7 linked regions of the Canis lupus familiaris genome follow. The protein of the gene in region 1 interacts with the protein of each later gene in a pairwise test. Links are inferred from orthologs where the notes say so. Each region holds a gene or a part of one and is shown in the gene's direction. Other genes may lie near its edges. The genes, in order: RALBP1, TSFM, RAC1, GPS2, AMOTL2, GSE1 and CEP57.

Region 1 (3,500 bases):
GAGGGGTCATGAAGAAAAATATTTTTGATTTGTAAATGCAAGAGTACTCACTATGTTTTGTGTGTGGGGAGGTGCTTTTGTATTTTGACTGGTGTTGATGACCTTTTTTTCCTATGTGCAGGTGTAATGGATAGGTAACAGAGAAACCCTCTTCACTGTCTCATCAGGGAGGCAGAATGACTGAGTGCTTCCTGCCCCCCACCAGCAGCCCCAGTGAACACCGCAGGGTGGAGCATGGCAGTGGTCTTACCCGAACCCCCAGCTCTGAGGAGATCAGCCCTACTAAGTTTCCTGGATTGTACCGCACCGGCGAGCCCTCGCCTCCCCATGACAGCCTCCATGAACCTCCTGACATAGTATCTGATGATGAGAAAGACCATGGGAAGAAAAAAGGAAAATTTAAGAAAAAAGAAAAAAGGAGTAAGTGCCATTTTTATATGTGCTTTTGATATATTTCAGATAAACTTTTACTCAAATTACATGCACCTGCTATTTTCTGAGACAATGTTCAAAGACTCTTGTTTGACATTGTCTGTTCTTTTCTGGATCTCAATTTTTGTTTAGTAGAGCTGTATTTTAGGGTCTTACTCTTGCAAATAAAAATACCAAATTTCCAGAAATGGTAAAGTTTTATGATGAAAGTTTCTTATATTGATTATTTTAAATAATGCATAAAAAGTAGATACTGGAGTTTCACCCTTATATAGAATATTACTTTCTTGGCTAGGTTGTGTAAGCCAGTTGCAGTACTATACTTTATTGGAACTGTAAAAAAAAAAAAGTAGTTATTTGTTTGTCTTAAGCAAATGCTATAATGCATTCTATTTATAGTTCCTATTCAGTAGGAAAGATGAATTTTTTTAAATTAAATTTAATTTATTTTATTTATATATTTTTTATTTTTTAATTTGGAAAGATGAATTTTTTAAGCATAGCACCTTAGTATGTTAAAAGCAGATCAGGTGAGTTATTTTAAGTATTGCTTTATTTGGAGTTTTATGGTATTTTTAAGTTAATTTGTTTTTTGAAGCATAGCACTAAGAATGCACAAATTGTATATAACTTGAATGAGTTATTACAAAAAGGGTGTATGTCCTTAAATTATAAGCCTCTGGGAATAGAGCATTATCAGCAGCTTAGAAATTCCTTTCCATTATCCCTTCAAAGGGAATCTTCCACCCTTCCCAAAGGTAAACTGCTTTCAATATAGCTTGAAACTCCCTGATTTTGAATTTATCTAACTGATACCAGATTTCCTTTTGCATCTAGTTTCTTTTGCCCAAAGTTGTATTCATTAGATTCATCCATGTTATTCTATGTGGCAGTAATGTGTTCATTTTTATTGCTGGATTTTGTTTCATTTCATTAATATACTAGAATTTTTTGCTATTCTTGGTCTTTTGGGTTGTTTTTCATTTTTGACTGTTATGAATAGGGCTTCTGTGAGTGTCATTGTAGGTGTTTATACATATTTCTGTTGTGTATATGCCTGGATGTGGAATTGCTGTATTATAGGCCATACTCATCTTAGCATTAGTCTCATAGATCCTGCAAAAACAATTTTCCAGAGTGGTTTACACTCACACCAGCAGTGTCTGAGAACCGCATTTGTTTTAGATCATGGTATAATGCCCTTAAGGTTTCTGCCCTTCTGGTTAGTGTGGAGTTTGTGGTATTTTAAATGGAAGGTAATTTGTGAAATATTTTTAATCTTTGTTATGAAATAGCTTGCAAGGTAGCTGGCTAAAGAAAAGAATAGGAGAATTATATTTTGAGATAACAGAAGCAAGCTAGGATAGCTCTAATATGATATAAAACAAGTGTCGGTATGTGTACACCAAGGCTCATGATGCATAAGTGGGCCGGTGCATTTGGCCACCATCCAGAGATTCGGAAATTTCCTGGTTCTGTCTTCCACCCAAATGAAGCTTCAGTCCCTGCTGCAGTTTCCAGAAAGAACGCTCTATATTATAGGACTCTTACTTAGCCCTCTCTCTGTAGATCCTTTGTTGTGTATTCATAGTATTTGGTTTGCCAAACTTCCACCTAAAACCAGTTGTGATGGTAACTGGCACTCTGCATTTCCCCTCTTGTGGCCAGGAGATGTCACTGCCACATCTCATTTTACCTGAGAAGAAACCTGTTCCTTTACTGGGAGTACCCAGGAGGGATTGACCATGAAGTGAAAATGAAAAGCAAGGTAGCCAGTGCCAGGTAGCGCTGTTTTTTTGGTCCTGTTTTTAGAGAGTTTAGGCATGGTTTGACATTTAACAGATCTATGACTTCTGTTTCCTGTGTTTCTTTGGCAGCTGAAGGCTATGCTGCCTTTCAGGAAGACAGCTCTGGAGATGAAGCTGAAAGTCCTTCCAAAATGAAGAGGTCCAAGGGAATTCATGTTTTCAAGAAGCCCAGCTTTTCTAAAAAGAAAGAGAAGGATTTTAAAATTAAAGAGAAACCCAAAGAGGAAAAACATAAAGAAGAAAAGCACAAAGAAGAGAAACATAAAGAGAAGAAGTCAAAAGACTTGACAGCAGCTGATGTTGTTAAACAGTGGAAGGAGAAGAAGAAAAAGAAGAAGCCAATCCAGGAGCCAGAGGTGCCTCAGATTGATGTTCCGAACCTCAAACCCATCTTTGGAGTCCCTTTGACTGATGCAGCTGAGAGGACCATGCTGTACGATGGCATTCGGCTGCCAGCGGTTTTCCGTGAGTGTGTAGATTACGTGGAGAAGTATGGCATGAAGTGTGAAGGCATCTACAGAGTTTCAGGTATTGAGGACATGTGCTTCTCTTGGGGGTTTTAAGAAATTCACCTTCATTTTTTAAAGAAAGGAAAATGATTAGCTTGTGAGGAAAATTGTAGCATGGGTCCTGAGCCTTATTCATTTCCTTGATCCTTGCAGTTGAACAAAAATCCCTCACTGCACGCGTGCGTGCGTGTGTGTATGTGTTTGTGTGTGTTTTGATAGTTTGCTTTTTTCTGATGATACTACCTTCCATTAGGAGGCTTTATGCATGAGTCTTTCATAGTTTGCAGCCGCCCGGCTGAGTATAAGCAAAGCATAGGAGTAGTGTTCCTTCGCTCTGGTGTGCTCAGACTGTGCTGTATTCTTCTCACCTCTTTCCTCTCTGAGCAGAGCTCTGTGTTGTGAAGGAGAGGAGATATCTGGGTAAAGGACGCTTCAGAGACACTTTTATTAGCATAATCGTATTTCCTGAGTTAAGCTGAGGGACATGAAATGTTCTTTGTTAAATGTTTAGGCCCAAATGTGAATGCTTTTGTCAGCCATGTGCAGCTATTACATAGATTAATGAAATTGATTTTCCATTTATTTATGTTCCCTTTGTGTGAAAATTTAAATTTCATATTTGGCAAGAATATCTCATGTGGGTGTCTAGAATCAAGCAAAATGTAAAAGGAAAAAGATTTTATTTCTTGCAAAGTAGTAGGACTTTTTTATTGTGTAGTATGGAAGTCTTGCCCTGTGCAACATCTGTGTT
Region 2 (4,023 bases), on another chromosome or scaffold:
CCAGGCCCTGTTGGTCCTTCCTTACTAGTGTTTTGTCTTTCACCTCTTTTCTCTTCCCACTGTAGGGCTTGGGGCTCTCTTTACTCCTTGGGCCACATATCTCTTCCTCTGGACTCCTGGCCTCCATTCTCTCTCCTTTAAGCCATTTATCAAACTCTTTTGATCTTCCAAAATCAGCTCTGACCAGCTTCTGTTGCCTACTGCAAGAGTAAAGCTCCTTGGCTTGGTACTCAGTCTATCCCATGTGATCCCAAATGACCCTTCTATTTCATTTTCAACTGGTTTCCTACATGTATTGCAACCTCTGGACAAATTCCAAATGTCTACTCTTTGTTCCCTATTTCCACACCCAAATTGCCCTGTTTTCTTCATTCTTTTTGATGATTCCCTGCCTGGAAGAGCTCTTTCTACCTCTCAAAATCTTTATTACTCTTAGCCGCTTTCCTGAAGAAAGCTTTTACGGAGCCTCCTGTTTTTTTTTTTTTTTTTTTTTTTTTTTATTTATGATAGTCACAGAGAGAGAGAGAGGCAGAGACACAGGCAGAGGGAGAAGCAGGCTCCATGCACCGGGAGCCAGACGTGGGATTCGATCCCGGGTCTCCAGGATCGCGCCCTGGGCCAGAGGCAGGCGCCAAACCGCTGCGCCACCCAGGGATCCCTGAGCCTCCTGTTTGGATGTGATTTCTCTCTCCCTGGAGACCCTTTCACTGGTCATCTTAGGGCCTTACTCGGCTTGCATGGTACCGGTCTGTCCCCTACTTCTCACCCCTAGACTACCGGGAAGGGCAGGGGTGTGGCTCACGCCTTCCTAGTGCTCTGAGGCCTACAGCGGGTCGACGTGCCACCCATACTTTGCTTGGTCAGCGACTAGCCCCGGGGTCTGGTGAAAGGGCTCCCCCCCCCCCCCCCCTGCCTGCCCCGCGGCCTTTGGCCACATTCCTGAACCCACCCGCCCACCCGCCGGGGCCGCCGAGAGTCCCAAATGGATGACGACTGTGAAACAGGACTGGAAATAAAGGAACGTGAAGTGTGTCCGCGTGCCTCGGAGCGTTATTTCGCGACCCCCGTGCCCCGTGGCCTCCGTTATTCACCTGCGGGCGGGGCGGGGCGGGGCGGTGGCGGCGGGGCGGGGCGGGCGGCGGGGCGGTGCGTGTGCCCGCCCGGCCGGCAGGTGGCGCCGTCCGCGCCTGGCGCTGGCGCCGGAGCTCTGGCCCCGCCGCCGCGCCGTAGCCGGTGTCCTCGCGCGCGGGCCGCGGACATGTCGCTCCTGCGGCCCTGGCGCCTCTTCGCGGCCGCGCGGGGCTGCTCGGTGAGGGGCCTGGGCCCCGGCCCCGCGCCTTCGTCCTGGGACTTCCCGGTGCGCTCGGGACGCAGCCCCCGTCCCCTCCTCCCTCCCCATCCCCCCCGCCCCGGGAGCCCCGGGTCTCCTAGGGCGGCCTCCCTGCGCGCTGCCCCGCCCGGGCTTCCCGCGGCGCCCGGCCTTCCCCCCATCCCCCCCTCCCCCGTTCCCGCCCCATCCCTCTCCGTCCCCCTCTCCCCCCCCCCCGGGGCTCCCCCCATCCCGCTCCCCGCGGCGCCGGCGGCTCAGGCGTTTCCTCCTCCCCCGCAGGCCGGGCCCCCCCCGCCGCCGCCTCGGCCGCGCCCCTTCCACGCGGGTCCATGGCTGTGGTCGTCGGCCCCGAGCAAGGACGCCCTCGTGAAGCTGCGGCGAAGAACAGGCTACTCCTTTGTAAACTGCAAGAAGGCTCTGGAGGCCTGCGGCGGGGATCTCAAGCAGGTGGGGGGCGGGGGCCGGGGCGACCTCAGGGGCGGGGACGTGCTGCCCAGGGACCCTAACCCAGAACCCTGGGCAGCATCCTTTTTTTTTTTTTTTTTTTTTTTAAGATTTTATCTATTCAGGAGAGACGCAGAGGGAGAAGCAGGCTCCACGCAGGGAGCCCGACGTGGGACTCGGTCCCGGGTCTCCAGGGTCGCGCCCTGGGCCGAAGCCGGCGCTAAACTGCTGAGCCACCCGGGCTGCCCCTATTTTTAAAGATTTTTATTTATTCATTCATGAGAGACCCAGAGAGAGAGGCAGGCTCCCCGCTGGCCCCAATGGCTGACAGACCCCAGGATCCCGGCCTGAGCCCAAGGCCTGAGCCCAAGGCTCGGCCACCCAGGCGCCCCTCGGGGTAGGATGCACACGTAAGTGCCGACCTCACCCTTTGACTCCGAAGCAGTTGACCAGGATCCCGTGGGTAACACTCTTCCAAAAACCACTGCTCTGCTGTTTGCTGGTGCTTGGAGCCCAAGGCCTTGTGTGAACCTTGGGAGCCTCACGCACCAGGACTCACACTGTGGTGCTCTCACACTAACCCTGTGATCTTGGACACTTTGATCTTTCAGAGTCACGTTGTTCTTGTCTGTACATAATAAAAAAAAAAATACTGCTGTCTGCTCCATAGGGTTGTTGTGAAGATTAAATTTATCCGAAGCATCAGGCACAATGCCTGGTATTTGGCGTTCAGTGGTAGGCTGCCAGTAAACGATAGACTGCTTTAGTTTCCGTTATAGGATTGACGAGAAACAGAATTAGGGAACCTGAACATATTTTAGAACCCCATTCAGTTCTAAATTCTGTGAGTTTGTCATCTGCCCTGTTTTCAATTTATAGGCAGAGAGCTGGCTGCACAAGCAGGCCCAGAAGGAAGGCTGGAGCAGAGCTGCCAAACTCCACGGCAGGAAGACTAAAGAAGGCCTGATTGGGCTGCTTCAGGATGGAAACGCAACCGTGTTGGTAGAGGTGAGCTGTCAGGATTCCAGATAAATCAGCTGCCCTTTGGGTGGAGAGCTGTGTGCTAGACCCTTCGTAGCCTTAAAGAAGAGGTGTTTGCGAAGTGCACACGGTTGTTGGGAGAAAACTGGTGAGACCACGGTTATTGTGAGCTCACTTAAGTATAGGAGTGGCTGGGTGTGTTGGCTGTTAAAGGCCTAGAAAGTCAGAAATGTTACAGATACCCCCACGTTTCAAAAGTTCATGTTACGCACTTTGCTTTTACAAAAGACCTACAATCATACGCCTGTTTTTGTTTTTTGTTAAATCCAAAGAGTACTTTTCACTTTTATGAAAAAAAAAGGCAAAAAGTGAAAATAGCAGTTAGTGTTGGTTTTGCACTGATTCATTGTAGAGGCAGGGGGCACCCTCGCAGCAGGAGTTGCCCCCCCCAACTACTCTCCGCATCTCAGCATCAAGCCGCCATAGCTTTGAACTTTGTGAGCATCTGTGCTTTCCGTTGATTTATTTAGTACATCAATTTGTTTTGTACATCCATTTCCATATAAGTTAATGGTAATTGATTTTTCACTTTATGCCATTTTGGCTTACAAAAGGTTTCATAGGAACACCGTACGTTCAGATAGTGGGGCAAACCTGTACTTCTCAGTGGGAGTCTCCTGCAGCCTTATACCTCGTCACTGATTGTTTCCTGGAACAGTTAGATTTTAAAGGTAGGAATTCTATTAATTAGTCGATGGATAGTGTGTAGCTGTTTTAGAGGAGGTGTAGGGGCCTCAATTGCTGAAGAATCAGATGTGGGTTAGTATAGAGTGAGAAAGGGAGATAAGCAGGCTGACTGCAAAAGTGGTTTGGTGTTGGAGGAGTCCGGAGAACGAGGTAGTGATGGCCCACAGCTACGGGCAAGTGGTAAAGGTGTAATGGCTCCATGGGACATTAGGGAACCATCTTTTGAATATGGGGGTCAGTTGCTAACTCATTGGCACAGCAGGAATCACCCCATTGAGTTTCTGGCCTCAAGCTAGGAGAGGAACTGCAGCCTTAAAATTCGAGGGTCATTTATGTCTGTTTTGTTGAGTCTGAAGCTTCTTCTGTAATACCTCGGTTTACTCTGATTTTAAGGCACTTTTGCAAACTGTCCAGAAGCAGCTTATACAGCAACATCAATTTGTTCCCGCCAGGTAAACTGTGAGACAGATTTTGTTTCCAGAAATTTAAAATTTCAACAGTTGGTCCAGCAAGTCGCCCTG
Region 3 (4,267 bases), on another chromosome or scaffold:
ACACTGTTACAGTACTGAGCAACAGAGTGAATTTCAGGAAAAGAAGGCCTAGGAGATGGAAATGTCATTGGAAATCAACTCCCCTGGAGAGTCTATTCTCAGAGCCGATGGGACCGTGAACCCGTTACTACCTTGCAGGAGGGCAATGCAACAATAAATACCAAAGCTTTAAAAAACGCTCACTCCTGCTACCCCAGTAACTCCAGTTTGGGGCGTATAGTCTAAAGAAATCAAGTTGTGAATTTTTTGTCACAAACACGCCCAGCCCAGCATGGTTTCTCAAACAGGGACAACTCAGCCGCTCAATAACAGAGACATTGGGTGAGGGCCACGAGCACAATGGGAGTGAACAGTAATTGGCCGTTAAAAATGTCCTAAGGGTTAGGTATTTTTCCAACTTTATTTTTTTAAATATTTATGATAGAGAGAGAGAAAGAGAGAGGCAGAGACACAGGCAGAGGGAGAAGCAGGCTCCATGCACCGGGAGCCCGACGTGGGATTCGATCCCGGGTCTCCAGGATCGCGCCCTGGGCCAAAGGCAGGCGCCAAACCACTGCGCCACCCAGGGATCCCTCCAACCTTCTTTAAAACATATCTTTACACACATAAAGAACTAGCCAAGAGGGGCACCTGGCTGGCTCAGTTGGCGGAGCATGTGACTCCTGACCTCAGGGTTATGAGTCTAGGCCCCAGAGTGGACACGGGACCTACTTAAAAACAAAAAACAACTCAGAGGAAAAAATACCAAAATATTGGCACTTTAATGGTCTGGTAACATCAACTCCAGAACTTGGTATAAGGCGTGGAACTAGTAAACGCTCAACGCACCGGAAACGGACAACGCACACATAAGGGAAGAAATTTCAACATTTTTGGCTCAATGAGCAGAAGTTATCTTTGGAAAATGGTAGAGCGTGTGGCATTTGCTTCCTTAGAAATTTAGGTTCTGAATTTTCTGGCAGAATCTCGTCCTCCCCTCAGAGTTCTCACAGAAGTCTAGACTCATGCCCTTCGCCAGGTGGCACAAACATGGCGGCCGGCCCGCCCCCGCCCCCGCCCCCGCCCCCGCGCCCCCATCTCTTACCACCCTCTGGAGCCGAGCGGGCCCCAGCCGAGCGCGTCCGAGCGCTCCCGAACGTCCCCGAACCCGGCAGGAAGCCCGGGAGCCGCGCGGGCAGGAGCGGCCCCGCCCCGGAGCCTGGGAGCGGCGCGCCGGCGCGGGGGAGGGGAGACCGGATGTGAGTGGAGCGGCCATTTCCTGTTTCTCCGCAGTTTTCCCCCAGCTTTGGGTGGTGGCCGCGGCTGGGCTCCGGCTTTCCGTCGGCGGAAGGCGAGGCGGCGTGGACAGCGGCCCCGGCACCCCGCGCCCTGCCGCCTGCAGCCGCGCGCCCGCCCGCGGCGCCCCGAGCCCGCCGCTTCTCGCGTCAGCGCCCGCCCGCCGCCGCCGCGGCCCAGCGAGCGGCCCAGATGCAGGCCATCAAGTGTGTGGTGGTGGGAGACGGGTGAGTGCGCGGGCCGGGGCCGGGGGCCGGGGGCCGGGGGCCGGGGGCCGAGGCCGAGGGTGGGGCCTGGGGGCCGGGCCGGGCGGGCTCTCGCGGGCCCGGAGCCGGCCTCTCCGCGGGGCGCGGGCCACCACTCACTCCCTCCGGGACTGGGAGGCACGGGGCCTGGTTCCGGCTCTTTTTTTTTTTTTTCTTTGCCTTTTTTCTTTTTTCTTTTTTTTCTGATGGGGGAGGGAGTCGCCGAGCGGCGGCCGGAGGGAAAAGTGAACTCCACCCTCCCGCCTTCTGGGCCCGCTGCGCGCGGGGCGGGACCCCCCAGCCGCGCCGCCACCCGCGCTCGTCCGCCCCTACAGCGGTGGGCTTGGAGTTGCCTTTCTTTCTCTAAGGGGGGGCGGGGAAGGACCCTTTCTGGGTTTTTACATCAGCCTCTGGAGCCCGGTTATAAGCTTCCGTGTGTCCCGGCGACCAGGTCGATAGTTCTTGAGTATTTGCCTGGGCTGGTTTGGCGACCCCAAACTGATTTCCCGTATCTTCCGCTTGTACTTAGCCGCTTTTAAGATTTTTCCCTCCCTTTGGTGATAATTCTTGTACTTTCCTTGGAGAAACTTTTGGGATTCTAGCTACGAGAAGCTAGGTGTGATTAAGACTGATCTTTTCTCTGAATGTGGTGTGGTCATAAAAAAAAAAGGAAGAGAGAAAGAAAGAAATTTGCTTTCGCTGCTTGCATTAGGTATGGGATGTAGCAGAACAGGCTCCCTGAGCGGAGCTGCCCTGTGACTCAAGGCATTTCTTTTCATTACTGTCTGTGGTGGTTACAAGGCCCTAGAGGAAGACAAGACTTGGCTTATGCAGTTTTTTTTTCCCCTCCCATAGAAACAAAAATCTCAGTGTAATCCGAGCAAAATTGTGTATCTCAGCAGTGCTCGAGTTAGTTGAGTGTTAACAGCGAAGATCCAAGAATTACTATCAGTTTCATCAAACTCAGTGTAATTGGTACATTTTTCAAGTCTTGTAAAATCGAAGGAAGAGTTCTGGCATCGCTCTTCCTTTTGATTAATATTCCCCAAACTTGTCATTAGGACTGATGTGGCTTTTATGCCTCCCAAGTTGTGAATTAGCTCATTTAGATTGTTGTAAATTAGACATTTTGAAACTGTTGCTACAACTATTTCAGATGTAAGGACAGTTGAACTAATTTTTTAAAAGATGCCCATCTGTGTGATTTGTCAGTCTTCAACGTGTGAAACGTTATTAACACTTCATGGTTCTGTGCATATAGCTAAAAATTATGACTCTCACCTATTTAGGAATATGTATGTTTTTTGTTTTTGTTTTTTAAACCCTTGAAAAGAAAGCTTTTCTTTCATTTGGGGTCCAAAAACTTCAGTTAATTAGTTTAATAGGGAAATCAGTACATTGGTTTAAATGAAATTTGATCCTTTTGTGTAATGAGTTAACTACACATATATCACATTGTCTTATGAACACTTTAACTGCATTTCCTTTAAAAATTTAAAAATGCTGAATCTGTAATGCTTAGAGTATGAAATAATGCTGTTTTTTTTAAATTGCTGATAATTCAGTATCTAACTTTAGAATGTAATATTCTTTTTTTTTTTTTTTAAGATTTTTATTTATTTGACAGAGAGAGCACAAGCAGGGGGAGTGGCAGAGGGAGAGGGAAAGAGAGAGGCAGGCTCCATGCCAAGCAGGGAGCCGGATGCGCCACTTGAACCCAGGACCCTGGGATCACGACCTGAGAGGAAGGCAGACACTTACCTGACAGAGCCACCCAGGTGCCCTAGAATGTAATATTCTTAATTGAAAATTTCTGAAACTAAACATAAGCACAGCAGACCTACTTAATGCTTACAGATGATGGACCCCGAAGATTTGTATTGCCTTGTGTATCTAGTCACATACTTGTTGAATGCCTGTTGTGGGATCTGGATCCTTACTTCGAATCCCCACTCCCAATGATTAGGGAGGAACCTGGGCATATTCACACTCCTCTCCCAGGACAGGGACCTCAAGTTGAAGTGGCGAGGATTAAACAAGTTGCTGGGGGACGCCTGGGTGTTTCAGTGGTGCCTGCCCGGCTCCAGCTCTGGTCGAGATCCTGGGATCGGGGATCAGGCTCCCTGCAGAGAGCCTGCTTCTCCCTCTCCTTGTGTCTCTGCCTCTCTTTCTCAGTCTGTCTCATGAATGAATAAATACATAAATCTTAAAAAAAAAAATAAACAAGATGCTGAATACTAAGTGCCTCCCAGGTGCCTGGCCCCAGGTGAGAAAGTGCAGGCAGCCAGCCTCATATAGTGTTGCTCTTTCTCTTAATCTGAGGCACTGTTGGGCCCTGTGTGGGAGGTCCAAAGCATAAAACAATTCTTGGCTTTAAGTTTTCATTCGATTTATTTGGTACTGTATTTGACATTGATGTAGACTGGGGCAAAGCCCTGTTAGAAGTAAACAATTCAAGCTCTGTTTATTTATTTTTTAAAGATTTATTCATTTATTTAAGTAATCTCTACACTCAATGTGGGACTCAACCTCAGGACCTTGAGATCCAAGAGTTGCACGTTCCTCCAACTGAGCCAGCCAGTTGCCCCCTCTATTACTTTAAATAAGGGACAACATACAGCAAACATTACTTCAGTGAAAAAGTTACATACATGACTTTCCAAACCAAAAATATTTTTTTGCTTTGACCCAAACAAAACATACCTGATGATATACTTGGAATGTTCTTTTATTCAAAAATTGTTAAA
Region 4 (4,013 bases), on another chromosome or scaffold:
CCACCCCGGGAGGAGCAGCCCCCTTCCGTCTTGCTGTCCCCCTCCCTCCAGTATGCTGGGGCCGAGACCCTAGCGTCCAAAGTGCAGTGAGTACATGGGGGCTGGGACTGGGGTCTCCATGGCTTCCCATTGGTGTCCCCGCTGTGACACTTGGGTCTTGTCTCACTCTAGCACATTTACTGTTGAAGGTGACTAGTACTGTGGAAATAAAAGTAGAGTGGGACGCAGTGGGTCCCAGGTGTGCTTTGCACAGGTACAGGCACACAGTAGTCAGGGTAGACATGGCGACGAAGGTTAGGTTTGGGCAGAGGCCTGCAGAGGGAAGCCAGGGAGCGCCCTGGAGAGACCCCAGCAAGCAGGGGTGCGGCCAGAGCCAAGCCACCTCTCTCTGGGAGGTGGGAGTGACCCCCCCCCTCCCCCCCCCCCCGCAGGCAGCCGAGGGAGGAGCCTGGAGGCCTCACGGCTGGCCTTCTTCTTGCCCTGCAGATTCCGGGATCCCAAGTCCCAGCGAACGCACCAGGCCCAGGTGGCGTTCCAGGTGTGCGTGCGCCCGGGCTCCTACACCCCCGGACCCCCTTCGGCCACCCTCCGAGAACCTCCCGACCCTCACTTCAGCCCCGCAGAACTCGAGTGGATAACCAAGGAGAAGGGGGCCACACTCCTCTATGCCCTGCTGGTGCGGGTGGAGTGAGGGCTGGCCTCTGGACGACAAGCACAGTGGGGCCCCCCCGGCCCTGGCTTAGCATCCCCTGCCGCGGCGGGTGCTCCCCGAGCCCCCGGAGCCCCCAGAGCCCGACGCATCTCTGGAGCAGGAACGCATCTCCGCGTGCAGGGCCCACGCCTCCCACTCGGGGCCGGCAGTCTCCCCTCATGCACTGACTCGGGGAACACGACTCCCTGGACTCCCTCCCCCGGATCACTTAATTTATTTCCGTTTTCGTTCCTGTTACTGTGAATCCCGAGGAGCCTCCCCGGGCCGCCGGGCGGAGTGGGGGCGGGCGCGGGGAAGGTGGGCCTCTGTACAGTTGTTACGGACGCGGGTTTCCAAGGAGCCAATAAACGCTGTCCCAGAGCGCGCGCCTCGGCCTCTTTCTCATTCATCCCCCTCTCGCACCGCCCCCCGACGAGCCCCAGGGCTGCCCAGCTGGGGGCGCCCGGCGCGCCGACGGAGTTTGGCCCCCCGCGGCACCCGTCGCAGCCGCTTCCGCCCTTCCCTGCGCCCGTCCCGCGAGGCCGCCGGCCGCCCCGGCTCCGGAAGGACTCGGCCCGGCAGCCGGATGTGACGCGCGGCCGAGGCGCACAGGAGCCGCGGAGAAAGCGCAGCGAAGGCGGGTAGGGAGGGGCGGGCGGCGCCGAGGCCGGAGACCCCAGCCCGCCGGCGCACGCGGAGCACAGGGGCACCCGGAGCACCCGGGACCGGCCGGGCGGCGGAGGGTGGGCGCCGGGCACGTGACCGGGGCGGCGGCGGCAGGCGGGCTTCCGCCTCGGCCCGCGGGCGCGACCCTCCTAAGCGCCCGCTTCTCGGCAGGCCCGGCCCAAGGTCTGGCAGTCCGTGACAGAGCCGGGCGCCCACGGCCCGAGCGTCCCCCGTGGCACCATGCCCGCGCTCCTGGAGCGCCCCAAGCTTTCCAACGCCATGGCCCGGGCGTTGCACCGGCACATCATGATGGAGCGGGAGCGCAAGCGGCAGGGTGAGCCCGGCCGAGGGGGAGGACCCCCAAGCCCCGCACCATGGGCACAGCGCCGCGCCGCGGCCGCGCGGGAGGAGGGTGGGACGGCCCGCCACTGGTGGAGGGAGCTGCAGGCCGGGTCCGGGCTCCAGAAGACTCGGGCCGGGAAGGACCTTGGAGAGCACCTGACATACCCTCCCTCCCAGTCCCCTGGGAGGAGAGGAGCAGAGGGAGCACTGGCACCGGCAGGTTTCCCCGCTTCTCCATCTCTAACGTCCTAGTGTTTTAACCACCCTGCGTTCTTCCCATTGCACCTGGTTCTTTCTCCAGAGGAAGAAGAGGTAGACAAGATGATGGAACAGAAGATGAAGGAAGAGCAAGAGAGGAGGAAGAAAAAGGAGATGGAGGAGAGAATGTCACTAGAGGAGACCAAGGAACAAGTAAGCAGCCCCCTGCTCTGTCCCAGCTTTTTCCTCCTTTGGCTCTCCTGCCGTCAGCTCCTCTCCCCTGCCTTCTCAGATCCTGAAGTTGCAGGAGAAGCTGTTGGCCCTTCAGGAAGAGAAGCACCAGCTCTTCCTGCAGCTCAAGAAAGTTTTACATGAAGAAGAGAAACGGAGGCGAAAGGAGCAGAGGTGGGATTGGAGAGCTAAAAATAAAATTGAGACAGTAACTGGGATGGGTAACACCAGATGGGTGTCTGATGGCAAAAGAGGGGGCACTTGTCTTCATTCTTGGTTTTGACCTGCCTGCCTTTCACTGCAGTGACCTGACCACTTTGACTTCAGCTGCGTACCAGCAGAGCCTGACCGTCCACACTGGGACTCACCTCCTCAGCATGCAGGGTGAGGAATGAAGAACCCGCTTGTTAGAATGCACCCTCCCGGGGGTTGCAGCCACCCCACTGCAGCCTCATGAAGCCCGTCTCCCTGTCTAGGGAGCCCTGGAGGACACAACCGCCCAGGCACCCTCATGGCGGCTGACAGGGCCAAACAGATGTTCGGACCCCAAGTGCTTACAGTAAGGAGTAGCATTGGGTGTGTAGCCCGCCATTTCCATGCAGACACGGGCACCCGCATTAAACAAGTATTCAAGTCACCAATGTTGTCCAGCACTTGACCAAATGGTGGAAAATTGGGCACATACAAGGCGCTTGGGGTTCTGCTTTGGAGGAGTTTCCAGCAGCAGCCAGCGCTCCTCTTCCTTCCTCAGACGCGACACTATGTGGGCTCTGCAGCTGCCTTCCCCGGGACCCCGGAGCATGGCCAGTTCCAAGGCAGCCCCGGCAGTGCCTATGGGACCGCGCAGCCCCCGCCTCACTACGGACCCACGCAGCCGGCCTATAGCCCCAGTCAGCAGCTCAGAGGTGAGCCGTGGGTTGGGAGGGGGGCGCTTCCTCCAAGACCCAGAGGCCGCTGGTCCCAGGCAGGCCCGAAGGAGGCTCGACAGGCTGTGCCTCCTGCCTCCCTCAGCACCTTCGGCGTTCCCAGCAGTGCAGTACCTGTCGCAGCCGCAGCCACAGCCCTACACGGTGCACGGCCACTTTCAGCCCACCCAGACAGGTGAGGATGCCCCCGCCAGGGCCCCAGGGCTGAGCGTCCTCCCCGCCTCCGCGTTCCACACACCCATCCTTCCCTTTGTAGGCTTCCTCCAGCCTGGCGGTGCCCTGTCCTTACAGAAGCAGATGGAGCACGCTAACCAGCAGACCAGCTTCTCAGACTCTGTGAGTACAGAGCCTGGGCAGGGCAGGGGCAGTGCTGGGCCCAGGGGTGCCCCAGGCCGCCTCGGACCCTGACTCTCTTCTCCGTAGTCCTCCCTGCGCCCCATGCACCCACAGGCTCTGCATCCAGCCCCTGGGCTCCTCGCCTCTCCTCAGCTCCCGGTGCAGATGCAGCCAGCAGGAAAGGTAAGGCCAGGGGTCGGACCCGGCTGGGGCCCTACCCTTCCAGGGGGAAAACCAGATTGTGTAGGAGAGGCGGCGCCCACCCCTCCTCTCCCATTTCCTCCTGGGGTGGGGATGGCTGGGAGTTCGGGTGTAGATTGAGGGGCAGGGTACACACCAACGAAGTCCCCCCACTTCTGCCACCAGTCGGGCTTCGCAGCCACCAGCCAGCCTGGCCCTCGTCTCCCCTTCATCCAGCACAGCCAGAATCCACGATTCTACCACAAGTGATCATCAGATTTTATCTTCAGCCTCAGCCACAGCCCCTGACGTGGGTGAGGGAACTTGGTGTCCCAGTCTAATAAAATTTACCTGCCTCTGCCCCTCTGCTGCTGTGTGCATCACCTCCCTCCCGGGCTGGGCCAGGGCTGTGTGGAGGGTGAGGAGTGACAGGCAACTAACAG
Region 5 (4,123 bases), on another chromosome or scaffold:
AAGTAAGTAAGTAAAACTGGATGGAACTGGAGGGTGTTTTGCTGAGTGAAATAAGTCAACCCGAGGACAATCATCATGTGGTTTCACTCATGTGTGGAATATAAGAAATGGTGAAAGGGACCATAAGGGAAGGGAGGCGGGAAACTGAGTGGGGAAAAGTTAGAGAGGGAGACCATGAGGGACTCCTAACTCTGGGAACCAAAGGGTTGCAGAGAGGGAGGTGGGTGAGGAGGCTCGGGTAACTGGATGATGGGCACTAAGGAGGGCATGGGATGAGCACTGAGTGCTATACTATATGTTGGTAAATTGAATTGAATTGAAATTTAAAAAGAGAAAAGAAAAAACTGAGCAGCCATCGGTTACTTGGCTTCATCACTTCTGCTCCGCGTGACCCTGGGGCAAGCTAATTAACCTCCCTGGGCCTTGGTTTCCTCATTTAAACTCAGGGATGATAACAGAATTCCCTGGGAGGATGACTTGGGAGGACTGCCTGGGATGACGAGGCGAGGAGCGGGTGGTGGCACACCGTGCACCCTGCGTAAATTCGGGGATGCCCATTACTACCTTTTTCCAGAAATGTTGGACAGAGCGCCTGCCCGCGGGTGATTCAAGTAGTTCGGTGGCTCCAATTAACCGGAAGATTCTCAACCCAGATTCACACTTCCTGTGGAGACAGGCCCTAAAAGAGCTGGCAAAGGTGTTTGTAAACAATAACAGGGCAATTCAAGGGTGGCCGCTGGCGGTGAGAGCAGTGGGGGTTCGGAGACTCGAGCCGGACCGAGGTAGAGTCCAAGCAAGCCGGGCGGGTGTGGACATCTTGACAGTCCTCCTCCCCTTGCACACACACACACACACACACACACACACACACACACACGGGGCCCCTCTCCCTGCAGCAAAGCCCAGAACCCCTTGGGGACCCGCGACTGCCCATCTCCGGGTGTCGTTTCGCGGATGGGCTGAAGGAGTGGGTGCAAGGTGGAGGTGGGGACGGGTCGGGGGGGGGGGTGGCAATGGCCGAGGGCATGAATCCGTCCCCAGCAGCCCCGGGGGCCCACGGCGGTGGCGTGGGGAGGCCGCGGAGGGAGGCGCCGCGCGTCCCGGGGACCGAGCTCCGGGACCGAGCTCCGGGGCGCGCGGCACCGCCTCCCGGGAGGAAGGCGGGGGCCGGGAGGAGGGCGGGGAGGAGGCGGAGGGCGGCGGAGGGCGGAGGAGGGCGGCGCGCTGCGAGGTTATTTGTGGTTCGCTTTGATCCCGAGGGGGAACCTGAAACTCTCACATTCCTGGCATAGCAGCCGCCTCCGGCGCGGGCCGAGCCTGGAGCTGCGCGCCGGGGCCCGGGCGGCCAGAGCGTCGGCGCCGCCGCCGAGTGCACACCGCCACCGCCGCCGCCACCGAGCCGGGCGAGCCGCGCCGGGCCGACCACGCCGAGCACCCGCGGGCCGCAGCGGTAAGGACGGCCGCCCGGCGCCTCGGGGAGCGCGGCCCGGGAGCCACGGTGCAGCCGGAGCCCCCGCGCAGCCCGCCCTTCCCGGGAGCGGGAGCGGGAGCGGGAGCCGGAGCCCGGCGCGGCGCGGCGAGCGACCCCGGGTGCGGGGCGCCCTTGCGAGGAAGCGCAGAGGCGGCCCGGGGCCGTCCCGAGCTCTGGGCGGCCCGCGGGCCCCCTGGGGCGGGGGGAGGGGGCAGCCTTTGCGGGGAGCGGGGGCTTATGCTTCGGGTCGTGGGCTGGGCAGAGGGGCGCCGCTGCGGGTTCAAGGTGCGGGCCCTGGGGCCGATCCGGTTGGGGGCAGATCACAGGTGTCCTTGCCCCCAACCCGTCCAAGAATTCCTCTTTGTCTTCCTTGGAAAATCCTCTCTGGAGCCTCGGAACGGCTCTCACTTAGAAAGAATGCGGCCGGCCGGCCAGCCCGGTGACGTCAGCGCTGGAGCATTCGGAAAACAAAGAGGGCTCGGGAGGCCGGGAGGGAGGCGGACCCGCGACGCTTAAAGACCTTGCTGGGCCACCGGCCCCCGCCCCCCCCCCCCCCCCCCGCGCGCTCCGGGTGCTCGCGGTCGGCCGGGAGCCCGGGCAGGGCGGCATCCCTGCTGCGGTGCACGCCTCCTTAGAGACCCTCGCGTGGGTTCCGTAGGCGAGGCCGAGCCCCGGCGCGAGCCGGAGTGGTTTGCTTACCGGGGAGGGGGCGCTGGTTTTCAGGAAGCCGGGGTGCGCCGGTGCAGCGAAGGTGCATGGCCGGGTCGCGGTCACAGATTTTAGTAACGGCTCAGCCGAAAGAATGTGCATCTGAGGGGTCTGACGGGGACAAACGCGGCACAGGGGCCCCGGAGGTGCTCCCGGCTCCCAGGCTCACGGCTGCGGGGGGGACACGAGGAGCCCGTCCCGAAAGCTCTGCACGCCACCCCCCCCCCCTTCTCCCCACCCTGCTCCCCACCGTCATTCTCGGCTGGAGAGTCAGCCCAGACTGATTACTTTAGGAAATGCCCCGCGGAGGAAACTCTAGGGCGAATTGATTGCAGTTTGTTTTGCCTCTGGTAACTCTGGAGTCTTGCATCTCCACGCCTCCGGGGTGTAGGGAGAGGGGGCGGCCGATTGGGTGCCAAGAAGGATGGGCACAGAGATGCCTTCCAGACTCCTCTCCCTCTCCTCATTTCTGGGCAGCCTGGAGGGAGGAGTAGATTGGCACTGGCTGCTCTGCCAACCTACCAAACCTTAAAGGCAGCAGGGCAATGGGGCTAGTTTTGTGGCCGAGAAGGGACCACATTCTTCCCACTGACCTCCCCCCATACATAAGACCTGTGGGGATAGGGGTTTTGTTTGGTTTTCCCTGAATCTAGTTAGGAGTTTTGTGTGGGAGGAGGCTGTGGAAGGAAGCTGGGTGAGGCAGGCAGCCTCGGGACATGAGCCACTGAGAGCCCAAGCTCAGAGGGCAATACCTTCCTCAGGAGATACTCCCTGCTCTTGAAGCTTCCAGCAGCCCACCCCCGCCCCAGACTCCGGTCCCTGCAACCAAGAGCTTCTCCCTCGCTCCCCTACTCCTCCAGTTAGCTCAGATAAGTGTTACCGATGGCAAAATGCTGAGTGCCCACCCTCTATGTGGCAGAGGGCCATCGGGGTCTTTTCCAAGTAGCAAGTGTACGTGTGTAGGAGGGACAGTCCTAAAGTCAAAGACACGGTGCCGCCCTTTGTTTTTCCTGGAGCACCCATGCAGTTGCTGTCAGCACACAGACTATGACTGACCCACAAACCTTGACGGGTGGCATCTTTTTCACCTCATTTCACAAAACCATCGTCCTGTTGTAGCTTCTCCTTTGATCCCTTATTATTTGCCAAACCCGATGCATTTTTGTCCTTCCTGTTCACCTTGCAGAGTGACCGTCAAGGTCATCCCGTGACAGAGAGGGCCCAGCATGGTAAAGGTGGTAGAGGGTGGTGAGTTACCCGTGCCAAGCCTAGGGCTCAGGCATGCTACATTCTAGAGGGAGCTAGGGGCTGTCTGCCTAGGGCTTCTACTAGGCTGGACTCCTTCTTTATCACCTGCCAATGAACTGGGGCCCTGTCTACCCCTAGACTGGCCTGCTCAGTGGTTGTAGCTGAACTACTCCTGCCCTGGAGTCTCTCCTCAGCCTTTTCACTGGGAAGCTGACTGCAGAGGCTGGGTGATGGATTACCTTGGAGGTTACTGGTGGCTTTCTTTAGTAAGTCTCCGTGAATATGACTGTAACGGTGGCCCTCTGCCAAGGATTTACAGTGCACCAGCACTCAGCAGCCATCGCCTTATTTAATTTTCACCTCCATGAGGCAAGCGTTATTCCGATGGAATAACTGAGGCTCACGGGTTAGGTCATTTGCCTTAATCAGTAGGTGGCAGCACTGGCAATTGAACCCAGGCTTGTGTGACCTCCCCCCCCCCCGCCCCCATAGCCTTACTCTTCACCATTATGCTTTGGACCACACTGTAACGGAAAGCACCCCCTGCCCTCTTTCCCCTGTGCTCCCACTAATTGCTCTTCTTTCCCTCCTCCCAGGTGCCCTGGGGCCAGGTGCCACCGGCCATTGTCCAGGCAGCTGTGTACAAGGCAAGGAAGCATGAGGACGCTAGAAGACTCCTCCGGGACGGTCCTGCAC
Region 6 (3,500 bases), on another chromosome or scaffold:
GGACCGGGGGGCAGCAGTGCCAGCCCTCCTCCCACTCCTGATTCCTGCTGTGGGCTCAGGGAGCAAGTTCATTGGCTTCTGTGTTGCTACCTGACAACCTCTGCTGGGGAGACAGACTTGGGGCCCCTGCCGGTCCTGCTACAGTGCAAATTGTCCCAAAAAGCCAAATCAAAGCTCTCTGGAAGAATAGTTCCACAGACACGCATGATTAATAAATAATGAACAGAGGCTAATAAGACGATTTTAAATATTAATAGCGCAGCATAACAGAGGAGGAGGCTGTCGAGAGAACAGGCCTGGGCCCAGTGGGGGCTCCTCAGGGGTTGCCATCCTCGGTGGGGGTAGGGCAGGGACAGATCTGGCCCCCTTCCCTCCCTGCTCCTGCAGTGGGAAGGGCGCTGGTGGGGGCGGGACTGTCAGCCAGCAGGTCCAAGGTACCCTTGGCTGTCTCCTACTTGCACACCCTGTCTGACCAGGAGGGGTCAGAGGTTGCTCCAGACCAGTTTTTTTTTTGTTTTTTTTTTTGTTTTTTTCCTGCTAGAAACGAGTCCTATTGAAATCAGTCTCTTAGCCAGAAGCTGGGACCAGGGCCAGGTCTTCCCAGGGTTCTTGCTCTAGGCTAGATTTAAGGCCCCAAAAGTATTTTTCTCCGCCACTTGTCTTGTGAGGGAGAATGAGGGAGTGCCCCATCCAGTGCCCTCGGTGCAGGGGTGCTGCTGCTTTCTACGTGAGTTTCTGTGCACATTCTCTGCCTTAGGTGGGGACCTGAGTATGCCTGGCCCCTCCTGGGTAGTGGACCCAGATGGCCACAGCAGGAGGGGAGTGGATGTGCACACACAGCCTTGGGTTGCCATGGACACGGCCCCAGGCCTGTGGGATGAATGATTCCCTGCAGAGAGATCATGTCCGTTCAGGCCACCTCAGCCTCATCACTTGGGGTCCAAAGGAAGCCTGGCATCTGCCTCCTGCCGTCTCCACCCTCACCCCTCACCAGCCATCCCTATAAAGTGCTAAAATCCTAGGACTAGGGGTTAATGCATGTTTCCACCTGGGATAAAAGGAATCTGGGGTTTTGGGGTGGTCAGGGAGGCCTGCAGGTCTTGGTCTGATGCGTGCTTCTGTACGTGTCACAGAGGGGCCCCCTGTGTGCATCCACTGTAGGATGAGGCTCCTTGCCCAGCCCAACAGTCCTTTCTTGTCCCCAGGATACTACTACGACCTGGACGACTCTTACGATGAGAGTGACGAGGAGGAGGTCAGGGCCCACCTCCGCTGCGTGGCCGAGCAGCCGCCCCTCAAGCTGGACACGTCCTCCGAGGTATCTGGAATCTCGTCCCCGTGTGACAGGTTGTGGGTGGGGCCTCTGGTGCCCCCATCACTTTCTGCTTCTTGGCTTCCCTCCCACTGTCCCGGGCAGCCCCTCATTTGCTAGGAACCCCTGCACCCCTCCATTCCCATTGACTGCAGGTTGTCTGGAAGCGCCGTCAGGGTCTTCCGCGTCTGTGGCCCAGTGTGGAGTTGGCCACAGCTCATGGGCTGCATGGACCCCAGGAGGGAGCCCCTGGGACAGTGGAAGCATGCCACTGCCAGTGGTTTCAAACTCATTTGTTTTCTTTCCCAATCTAGAAGCTAGAGTTTTTGCAACTTTTTGGCTTGACCACCCAACAGCAGAAGGAGGAGTTGCTGACCCAGAAGCGGAGGAAGCGGCGGCGGATGCTGAGGGAGCGAAGCCCGTCACCCCCGACGATTCAGAACAAGCGGCAGACGCCTTCACCGAGACTGGCACTGTCCACCCGCTACAGTCCTGATGAGATGAACAACAGCCCAAACTTCGAAGAGAAGAAGAAGTTCCTGACCATCTTCAACCTGACTCACATCAGTGCCGAGAAGAGGAAAGGTACAGCCTAGTGTGGGCCTCGTGGGGTCGGGTCACTCTGCGGCCACAAGCTTCTGGAGAAGCAGGGGCCGTGGGCTCCTGGGAATGTTCCATGCCCACACTCCTGGTAGGATCTAAAACCACTTCATCCTGGGGCTCTTTCTATTCCCTCTGGCCCCCAAGGAGGCAGCTACTTTGCTTGCACGGGCCTACCCCAGTATCGCTCCAGCATCGACTTTCTCTCCATCCAAAATGCAAATTCCCCTCCTTGGAGGGCATATCTCTTGTCACATCCTGTGCAGGACTGAAGGCTTGGTGCCATGTGTTCTGTGTGTAAAGCCTGCTTTTGACGGCTGCTCTTGTCACTTGTCAGACCTCCCAGTGCTTCAGGCAGCAAGTGGGGCGACTCCTGGGCGCAGGGTCGCAGTGCACCATCCTGCAGGTAGTGGCTGTTTACTCTTGGCAGGTGCTGCCGTGGCCCACAGAGCTTTGCGTTCTGACAGCAGGAGGCTCGGGGTGGCCTGTGGTGGCCAGGCAGAGCCAGCATATGCTGTGAATGGGACAGCTTGCCCTGGAAGGTGCTTCCAGGTCCATCTGGCCACCAAGGGCCATGTTGGGGCCACCTTTTCAGGCTGGAGTCCATAGCACAGGAGGGGTGGTGCGGTCTGAGCACATTCTCGCCTCCCCTTCCTTGGTCTGGCCCATACCTCACTTAGTGCCAGGAAGTGAGTTCAGGTGAGAACTCCACCTGTCTCGATGCTCATTTCCATGCTTCTAAGTCCAACTTGCTGATACCTAGGTTGTCACTTCTCTGGAAGGAAGTCAGAAGGAAAGCAGAAGTGTTACTGGTCACATACTTGCTTCCACTTACTTCATTAGTGGGGTGTAGCCGTGTGCTTTTCGCCTTTAACCTTAAACTGGAACCTGCGCATTCTCTTAAAGAGGCAGTGACTCATTGATCACTGGCACCTGTCCCTGGGAACAGCCATAATCTTGTTTGTAACAAGCATCTTTTTGCCTGACTTAATTCCTAGAGGAAGCCACCAGTGATGCAGGCACTTCGGTGTCAGTTGGTAACAAGTGCCACCACAACAGGAACTCACAGTGGTGGGCGTCACGGGGGTCTGGTTCCGTTTCAGTAGATGGCAGCCTTGCTGGGACTTGTGCACGTGTGCCAAGAGCTGTAGGGGAGAGGAATGTGCCTGGAAGCAGCCCATGCTCCCAGAGGTGCTGTGTGGATCTTCACGGTTGTTCCTTTTGTTGGGAGCTTTTGTGTGCCTGAGTCTTTTAAATAAGAATAGTGTCGGAAGTCACCTCTGAAGATCACGGGAACCCATTATTTTGATGTATGCACACAGCTATTTTTGGAATGCATCTAGAATGCTCTGTAGCAAAAGCTGAGCAGAATCTGAGCTAACCCTAAAATGAAAGTTTCTTCCTTTAAACACAGCCTGTTCCCCTTGGTCCTTGCTTTGCTCTTCTTGATTTAAAGGACTTGCACCTGCCAGTGACGGCTTGGGCTAGAAGCCTGCTCCCCTTCCCTCTCAGCAGTGATGCAACTGTGTTGTTAATCTCAGGCTGCTTTTCTCATAGACAAAGAGAAACTTGTTGAAATGCTCCATGC
Region 7 (4,160 bases), on another chromosome or scaffold:
GCTCACAGACAGCATCCCGGCTTTAATGGGATGGGAGGAGCTCCAAATCATAGAGCATTCTGTCCCCAAACCAGTCGCTTCGCTTTCCTGGACAGGGAAGGAGGATGCCATCAGCTTTGCGGCTTCAGGTTCCTAGCAAGAAAGTGCAAAAACCGTCCCCTGCCTCCCGGTGGAAGGAGAGGACAGTCCAGGCAGAAAACCGAGATGAAAACATCTCCACCCCAGGGTCTCTGCGGCATAGACAGGTGGCTGCCGCCTCATTCAGCCCCACCCGGAGACCCCTGAGTGTCGGTAGGGCCCGGCCCCCTCCTGGGCCGCCTGGAAGAGGGCAGAATTCTGTCTTCCTCTCAGGGGCCTTTCCCATCCGATGCCCACGTCCCCAGATAAAGGGTCCCGGGAGAGGAGGCCAGAAAGAGCTCCAAGCCCTCAGGGCGCCGGCGACGGGAGCCGGGCTGCAGTGCCGCGGCCACCGCGCTCCCTCGGGCTGGCCGAGGGGACCCCGCCCGCCCGCCCGCCCGCCGCCCCGCGCCCACGGACCTTGCAGAGCTGCTGGCCCTGGGAGAGCTCCTCGAAGGGATAGCGCTGGGTGCACTTGGTGCAGGCGTACAGGGCCGAGGCCGCCATCCTGCTCAGTCTCCTCCTCCACCGCCGCCCGCACCGAGGCGGGGCCCTACGGGGAACTCGGCCGCCGCCGCCGCCGCCGCCCGGGCCGCGAGCTCCTCCTCCTCCCCCTCCCCTGCCTCGCGCCCACCAGAGCCGCACCACGAGAGCCCAGGGCCCTGCGGTCTACACCGTCTCCCTCCGCCTCCACTTCCGCCCCCGGCCCTCTCAGGGACGCCGTCCCAGCCGCTCCCGCTTCGGCGCCTGGAGCGGCGGAGGGAGACCAAGAGGATAGCTCGGTGCGGGGTAGCTGCGCGGCGGTGGATCCGCTTCCTTCTCGGCCTTCCTTCCCCGGCTCTGATTGGCTGGGAGGGCTGCTGCGTCACTCGGTCGCCCCTCCCAGCCCCTAACCGCGGCGACGCTGGAAGCGCCCACAAAGGGAGGAAGCTGCTGGCCAATGGGGGCCGGGAGCTCTCAGCGCGCCAAGGCCGCTTCAAACCCGCCCCGCCCACCGGCCCAGGAGCGCCTGGAGCTAGCGGCCAGTCCCGGCTGTGCTGCGGTCGCCCCGCTCCAGCCGGGCGCGTGTTCGCCAAGGCTTGCTCCGTGCCCACGCTGCTTCCCCCTTGACTTACTTCTGTTGGGCCGAACCACTAAGGCCCCTTGCGACACTACTTGTTACTGGTCAGAAGCTAAGTACTTCACCTAGAGAGGCGTCCGGGTCGAGCTCACGCCCGCCGGCATTTAGTCCCAGGGGGCCGATGGCGTGTTTGGACTTCACACTCGCTTTTATTGTTTCAGTCATTCTATTCAACGGTCCGTGGCGCCCGTCACCTCCTCGGCCCGGCCCGCCCCTCCTGCGGAGTTCCCTCGGGGCCGCCCGGGAGCCGGCGGCGTGAGCGCCGCCGTAGACTCAGCGAAGCGCTACCTTGTGACGTCGGCGACGGAAGAGGCGGACTCTCTGCTGCTACCGGAAGCCGTCCGCTTTTTTGATTGGCTGCTCCAGACGTCCGTTAGGGCGTGTTGCCTTTTCCGCGTGCAGCCCCTGAGCGTGGGCGGCCCAGTGGGGGTGTGTGCAGGGGTTTCCAGGCCCCGCAGCAACACCCCAGCCCCTTCCATCAGGGGTTGGCTTAGGGTCGCCCCTGGCGGGCGGCTCTCGAATCTTAAGGAAGAGCTCGAAAACTCAGACCCCCTTGGGGCCGCGGAGGCCCTCTGGGCTGGCAGGAAGATGGCGGCAGCATCGGTGTCTGCGACTTCAGGGTCTCAGTTCTCGGTAAGAAGCGGCTGACGTTCGAGTAGGCTCGGTTTTGGCGCCTCCTTGCTTTTCCTCACCTTTCAGCGCGCTCTGGGCCCGGGGTCTCACCGCGTCCGGGGCACGGCCGGGGGTGCCTGACGGGGCGCCGTGCTCCCCTGACGCCCGCCGCCCCTCGGCCGGGGCTGCACCCCCCCCCCCCCCCCAGCCGAGGCAGGCCTGGTCGGTTCCGTCCCTTGCTCCCCTCACCTTCCGTTCTGGCTGCCCAGGTGGCCAAACTTTGCCAGGACTCTCTGGGAAGGCTCCTCCCGCCGGGCCTGGCGGAAACCTTGCGGCTTTGGTCACGTGGGGGGAACGGCACCTCCTGGAAACTCGCCGAGACCAGGTAGCTCACGACGCGGCTTCGTCGGCGGCTGTTGAACAGTCGTCGGTCTCCACCGCTTGCTAGTTGCGGCCTGTGCCGATTCCGTTGCCTGCAGCGCCTCCCCCCGCGTATTCCCGTGACTGTGCCTGCGGGTCACCCGGAGCGCGCGCTTCCACCTGCGCTGTTACTTGGCCGGCACCGCGTACGCGCTGGCGCTGTTGCAGAGGGGCCGCGGGGGAGCTGATCCTACGTAGTGTTCTGCCTCCCTATTATCTGTCGAACCGGATTGCCGGTGCTTCGAATTTGAGAATCCGCCGCGCCGGGAATAGGCAGAAAATGGGAGGCAGCTCAGGCGAGAGCCATTGTGTCTTCCCTTAGCTGCAGCGGAGTGCTTGGGGCTGTAAGGTCACCCAGGTGAATGGGTTGGAATCCCCGCGCCGAAGGAGCAGACACAGAAGAGAAACTGCATGTGCATTAGACTGTTACACAGCTCAGTTTGATAGATGCTGCCATGCAGGTATAACCTAAGCGTGAGTGGTCGGTGCTTGGGTTGGCTGGAAACAGTTTCCTAGTAGGGAAGATGGAGCTCGCTAGCGGAGTGGGGAAGGAATCGTCAGTCGGTGCTAGTCCAGAGAACTGGAAAGGAGGAAAAGGCACCCGCGGGCACTTCAGTTAGGTGCCAGGACAATGGGAGCTTCCGGGAAACTAAGTAATGTGGAGCGTACAGAGGTCGTGGGGCGGGAGAGTTGGGTTAGATGAATTGAATTGTGGAGGTAGGTAAAAATTGGGGGGAAAAGAGGGATACGGACGAAAACAGGAAACTATCAGGATGAGAGTTATGTCATAGACGCTTAAGGGGGAGAAGTTTAGGGAGCGTTGAGAGCAAAGTTACCTCAGTTTTCCTCAGTTGCAGCTTTTGTGACTTAAGGTTTATGATAATAAGGCCAAAAGCAACTCCGTTTCTGCGGAAGGGGAGTACCGAATTTGCAGAGCAGTCAGGGAAGATTAAGAATGAATGAAGCACTTAGAGTTCTTTCAGGAATTAGGTCAGTGAAAGGGAATGTAAAAAGAGGAACTATTAGGAGGAAGTGTCCCTAAGTAGATGGATGGGATTATATAAGAGTTGTGATTAAATTTAATTGTGAGAAGAAGGCTTTTCACTGCTTTCAAAACTTAGCACTTGGAGACTGAGTAAGAAATACTCCTAAAACTGTTAATTGAGCTGTATGTACTCTCTTGAGTCTGTGTAGCTGAGCTGCGGTACTGGGATGTGCTGTCAACCCCTTAGTTCTTAAGGTAGCCTGGGCATAAATTTCATAGTGTTTAATAGGAAAGCATATATATATGCTTTTATTTATTGGATTCTAAATATCAGGAGTACACTTTTTTTTTTTTTAAAGATTTTATTTATTCATGAGAGATATAGAGAGAAAGGTAGAGACACAGGCAGAGGGAGAAGCAGGCTCCATGCAGGCAGCCCTACGTGGGTCTCGATCCCGATCCCGGGACTCCAGGATAACACCCTGGGCCAAAGGTGGCGCTAAACCACTGAGCCACCTTGGCTTCCCCAGGAATACACTTTTCAAGTACCTTTTGGAAATCTAAAGTGTAACAACCTTCTTAATTTGACTTGCTACATCAAAATGTCTCATTTGGAAGTCACTGTTTCAAAACAAATGACTGAATGTACTTTATTATTAGTGTATAAGAAACAGCCCTGCTTAGACACCTTAACTGTCCTGTCAGAAATAAGGCTGGTGTTTCCAACAAAATGTAAAAAGCATTTTGGCTTAATGAACAGTTGATTATAAGATAAGAGAACACAAAAATACCTTTTAAAATTATAGCATAAATTCAGAGGCTACTCATATTCAGATTTTAGGGTTGTATAAACACTTCATGTGAAAAAAAGAAATAATATGTATTTAACACTCATAAACCCAGCTT

The links.
Region 2: the proteins of RALBP1 (region 1) and TSFM interact in binary tests that used the Homo sapiens proteins (3 or more experiments, as listed by UniProt). The two-hybrid records come from large-scale screens. The link is inferred for Canis lupus familiaris from reciprocal best matches to the Homo sapiens genes RALBP1 and TSFM.
Region 3: the proteins of RALBP1 (region 1) and RAC1 interact in a two-hybrid assay, tested with the Homo sapiens proteins (2 studies listed by BioGRID, with this or other methods). The link is inferred for Canis lupus familiaris from reciprocal best matches to the Homo sapiens genes RALBP1 and RAC1.
Region 4: the proteins of RALBP1 (region 1) and GPS2 interact in binary tests that used the Homo sapiens proteins (3 or more experiments, as listed by UniProt). The two-hybrid records come from large-scale screens. The link is inferred for Canis lupus familiaris from reciprocal best matches to the Homo sapiens genes RALBP1 and GPS2.
Region 5: the proteins of RALBP1 (region 1) and AMOTL2 interact in binary tests that used the Homo sapiens proteins (3 or more experiments, as listed by UniProt). The two-hybrid records come from large-scale screens. The link is inferred for Canis lupus familiaris from reciprocal best matches to the Homo sapiens genes RALBP1 and AMOTL2.
Region 6: the proteins of RALBP1 (region 1) and GSE1 interact in binary tests that used the Homo sapiens proteins (3 or more experiments, as listed by UniProt). The link is inferred for Canis lupus familiaris from reciprocal best matches to the Homo sapiens genes RALBP1 and GSE1.
Region 7: the proteins of RALBP1 (region 1) and CEP57 interact in binary tests that used the Homo sapiens proteins (3 or more experiments, as listed by UniProt). The two-hybrid records come from large-scale screens. The link is inferred for Canis lupus familiaris from reciprocal best matches to the Homo sapiens genes RALBP1 and CEP57.

Annotation. Positions count from the first base shown.
Region 1 is NC_049228.1:75,572,877-75,576,376, forward strand, and holds part of RALBP1 (ralA-binding protein 1), read left to right. Parts: intron 1-121; 5' UTR 122-176; coding exon 177-420; intron 421-2,309; coding exon 2,310-2,768; intron 2,769-3,500. UniProt on the Homo sapiens protein: Multifunctional protein that functions as a downstream effector of RALA and RALB. As a GTPase-activating protein/GAP can inactivate CDC42 and RAC1 by stimulating their GTPase activity.
Region 2 is NC_049231.1:2,195,935-2,199,957, forward strand, and holds the start of TSFM (elongation factor Ts, mitochondrial), read left to right. Parts: upstream 1-1,223; 5' UTR 1,224-1,258; coding exon 1,259-1,357; intron 1,358-1,609; coding exon 1,610-1,777; intron 1,778-2,653; coding exon 2,654-2,782; intron 2,783-3,954; coding exon 3,955-4,023. UniProt on the Homo sapiens protein: Associates with the EF-Tu.GDP complex and induces the exchange of GDP to GTP. It remains bound to the aminoacyl-tRNA.EF-Tu.GTP complex up to the GTP hydrolysis stage on the ribosome.
Region 3 is NC_049227.1:11,815,608-11,819,874, forward strand, and holds the start of RAC1 (ras-related C3 botulinum toxin substrate 1 precursor), read left to right. Parts: upstream 1-1,467; coding exon 1,468-1,502; intron 1,503-4,267. UniProt on the Homo sapiens protein: Plasma membrane-associated small GTPase which cycles between active GTP-bound and inactive GDP-bound states.
Region 4 is NC_049226.1:32,479,419-32,483,431, reverse strand, and holds GPS2 (G protein pathway suppressor 2), read left to right. Parts: upstream 1-1,213; 5' UTR 1,214-1,332; intron 1,333-1,528; 5' UTR 1,529-1,597; coding exon 1,598-1,691; intron 1,692-2,000; coding exon 2,001-2,110; intron 2,111-2,189; coding exon 2,190-2,302; intron 2,303-2,432; coding exon 2,433-2,512; intron 2,513-2,604; coding exon 2,605-2,687; intron 2,688-2,879; coding exon 2,880-3,033; intron 3,034-3,139; coding exon 3,140-3,229; intron 3,230-3,310; coding exon 3,311-3,390; intron 3,391-3,477; coding exon 3,478-3,573; intron 3,574-3,756; coding exon 3,757-3,840; 3' UTR 3,841-3,932; downstream 3,933-4,013. Other genes in the region: NEURL4 (neuralized-like protein 4), read left to right, coding at 1-86, 487-691. UniProt on the Homo sapiens protein: Key regulator of inflammation, lipid metabolism and mitochondrion homeostasis that acts by inhibiting the activity of the ubiquitin-conjugating enzyme UBE2N/Ubc13, thereby inhibiting 'Lys-63'-linked ubiquitination.
Region 5 is NC_049244.1:31,681,486-31,685,608, reverse strand, and holds the start of AMOTL2 (angiomotin-like protein 2), read left to right. Parts: upstream 1-1,323; 5' UTR 1,324-1,450; intron 1,451-4,023; 5' UTR 4,024-4,084; coding exon 4,085-4,123. UniProt on the Homo sapiens protein: Regulates the translocation of phosphorylated SRC to peripheral cell-matrix adhesion sites. Required for proper architecture of actin filaments.
Region 6 is NC_049226.1:67,508,070-67,511,569, reverse strand, and holds part of GSE1 (genetic suppressor element 1), read left to right. Parts: intron 1-230; exon of another isoform or gene 231-1,205; coding exon 1,206-1,318; exon of another isoform or gene 1,319-1,626; coding exon 1,627-1,897; exon of another isoform or gene 1,898-3,469; coding exon 3,470-3,500.
Region 7 is NC_049242.1:5,436,877-5,441,036, reverse strand, and holds the start of CEP57 (centrosomal protein of 57 kDa), read left to right. Parts: upstream 1-1,360; 5' UTR 1,361-1,825; coding exon 1,826-1,870; exon of another isoform or gene 1,871-2,035; intron 2,036-2,098; exon of another isoform or gene 2,099-2,443; intron 2,444-2,537; exon of another isoform or gene 2,538-2,724; coding exon of another isoform or gene 2,725-2,730; intron 2,731-4,160. Other genes in the region: protein FAM76B, read right to left, coding at 7-132, 538-624. UniProt on the Homo sapiens protein: Centrosomal protein which may be required for microtubule attachment to centrosomes. May act by forming ring-like structures around microtubules. Mediates nuclear translocation and mitogenic activity of the internalized growth factor FGF2, but that of FGF1.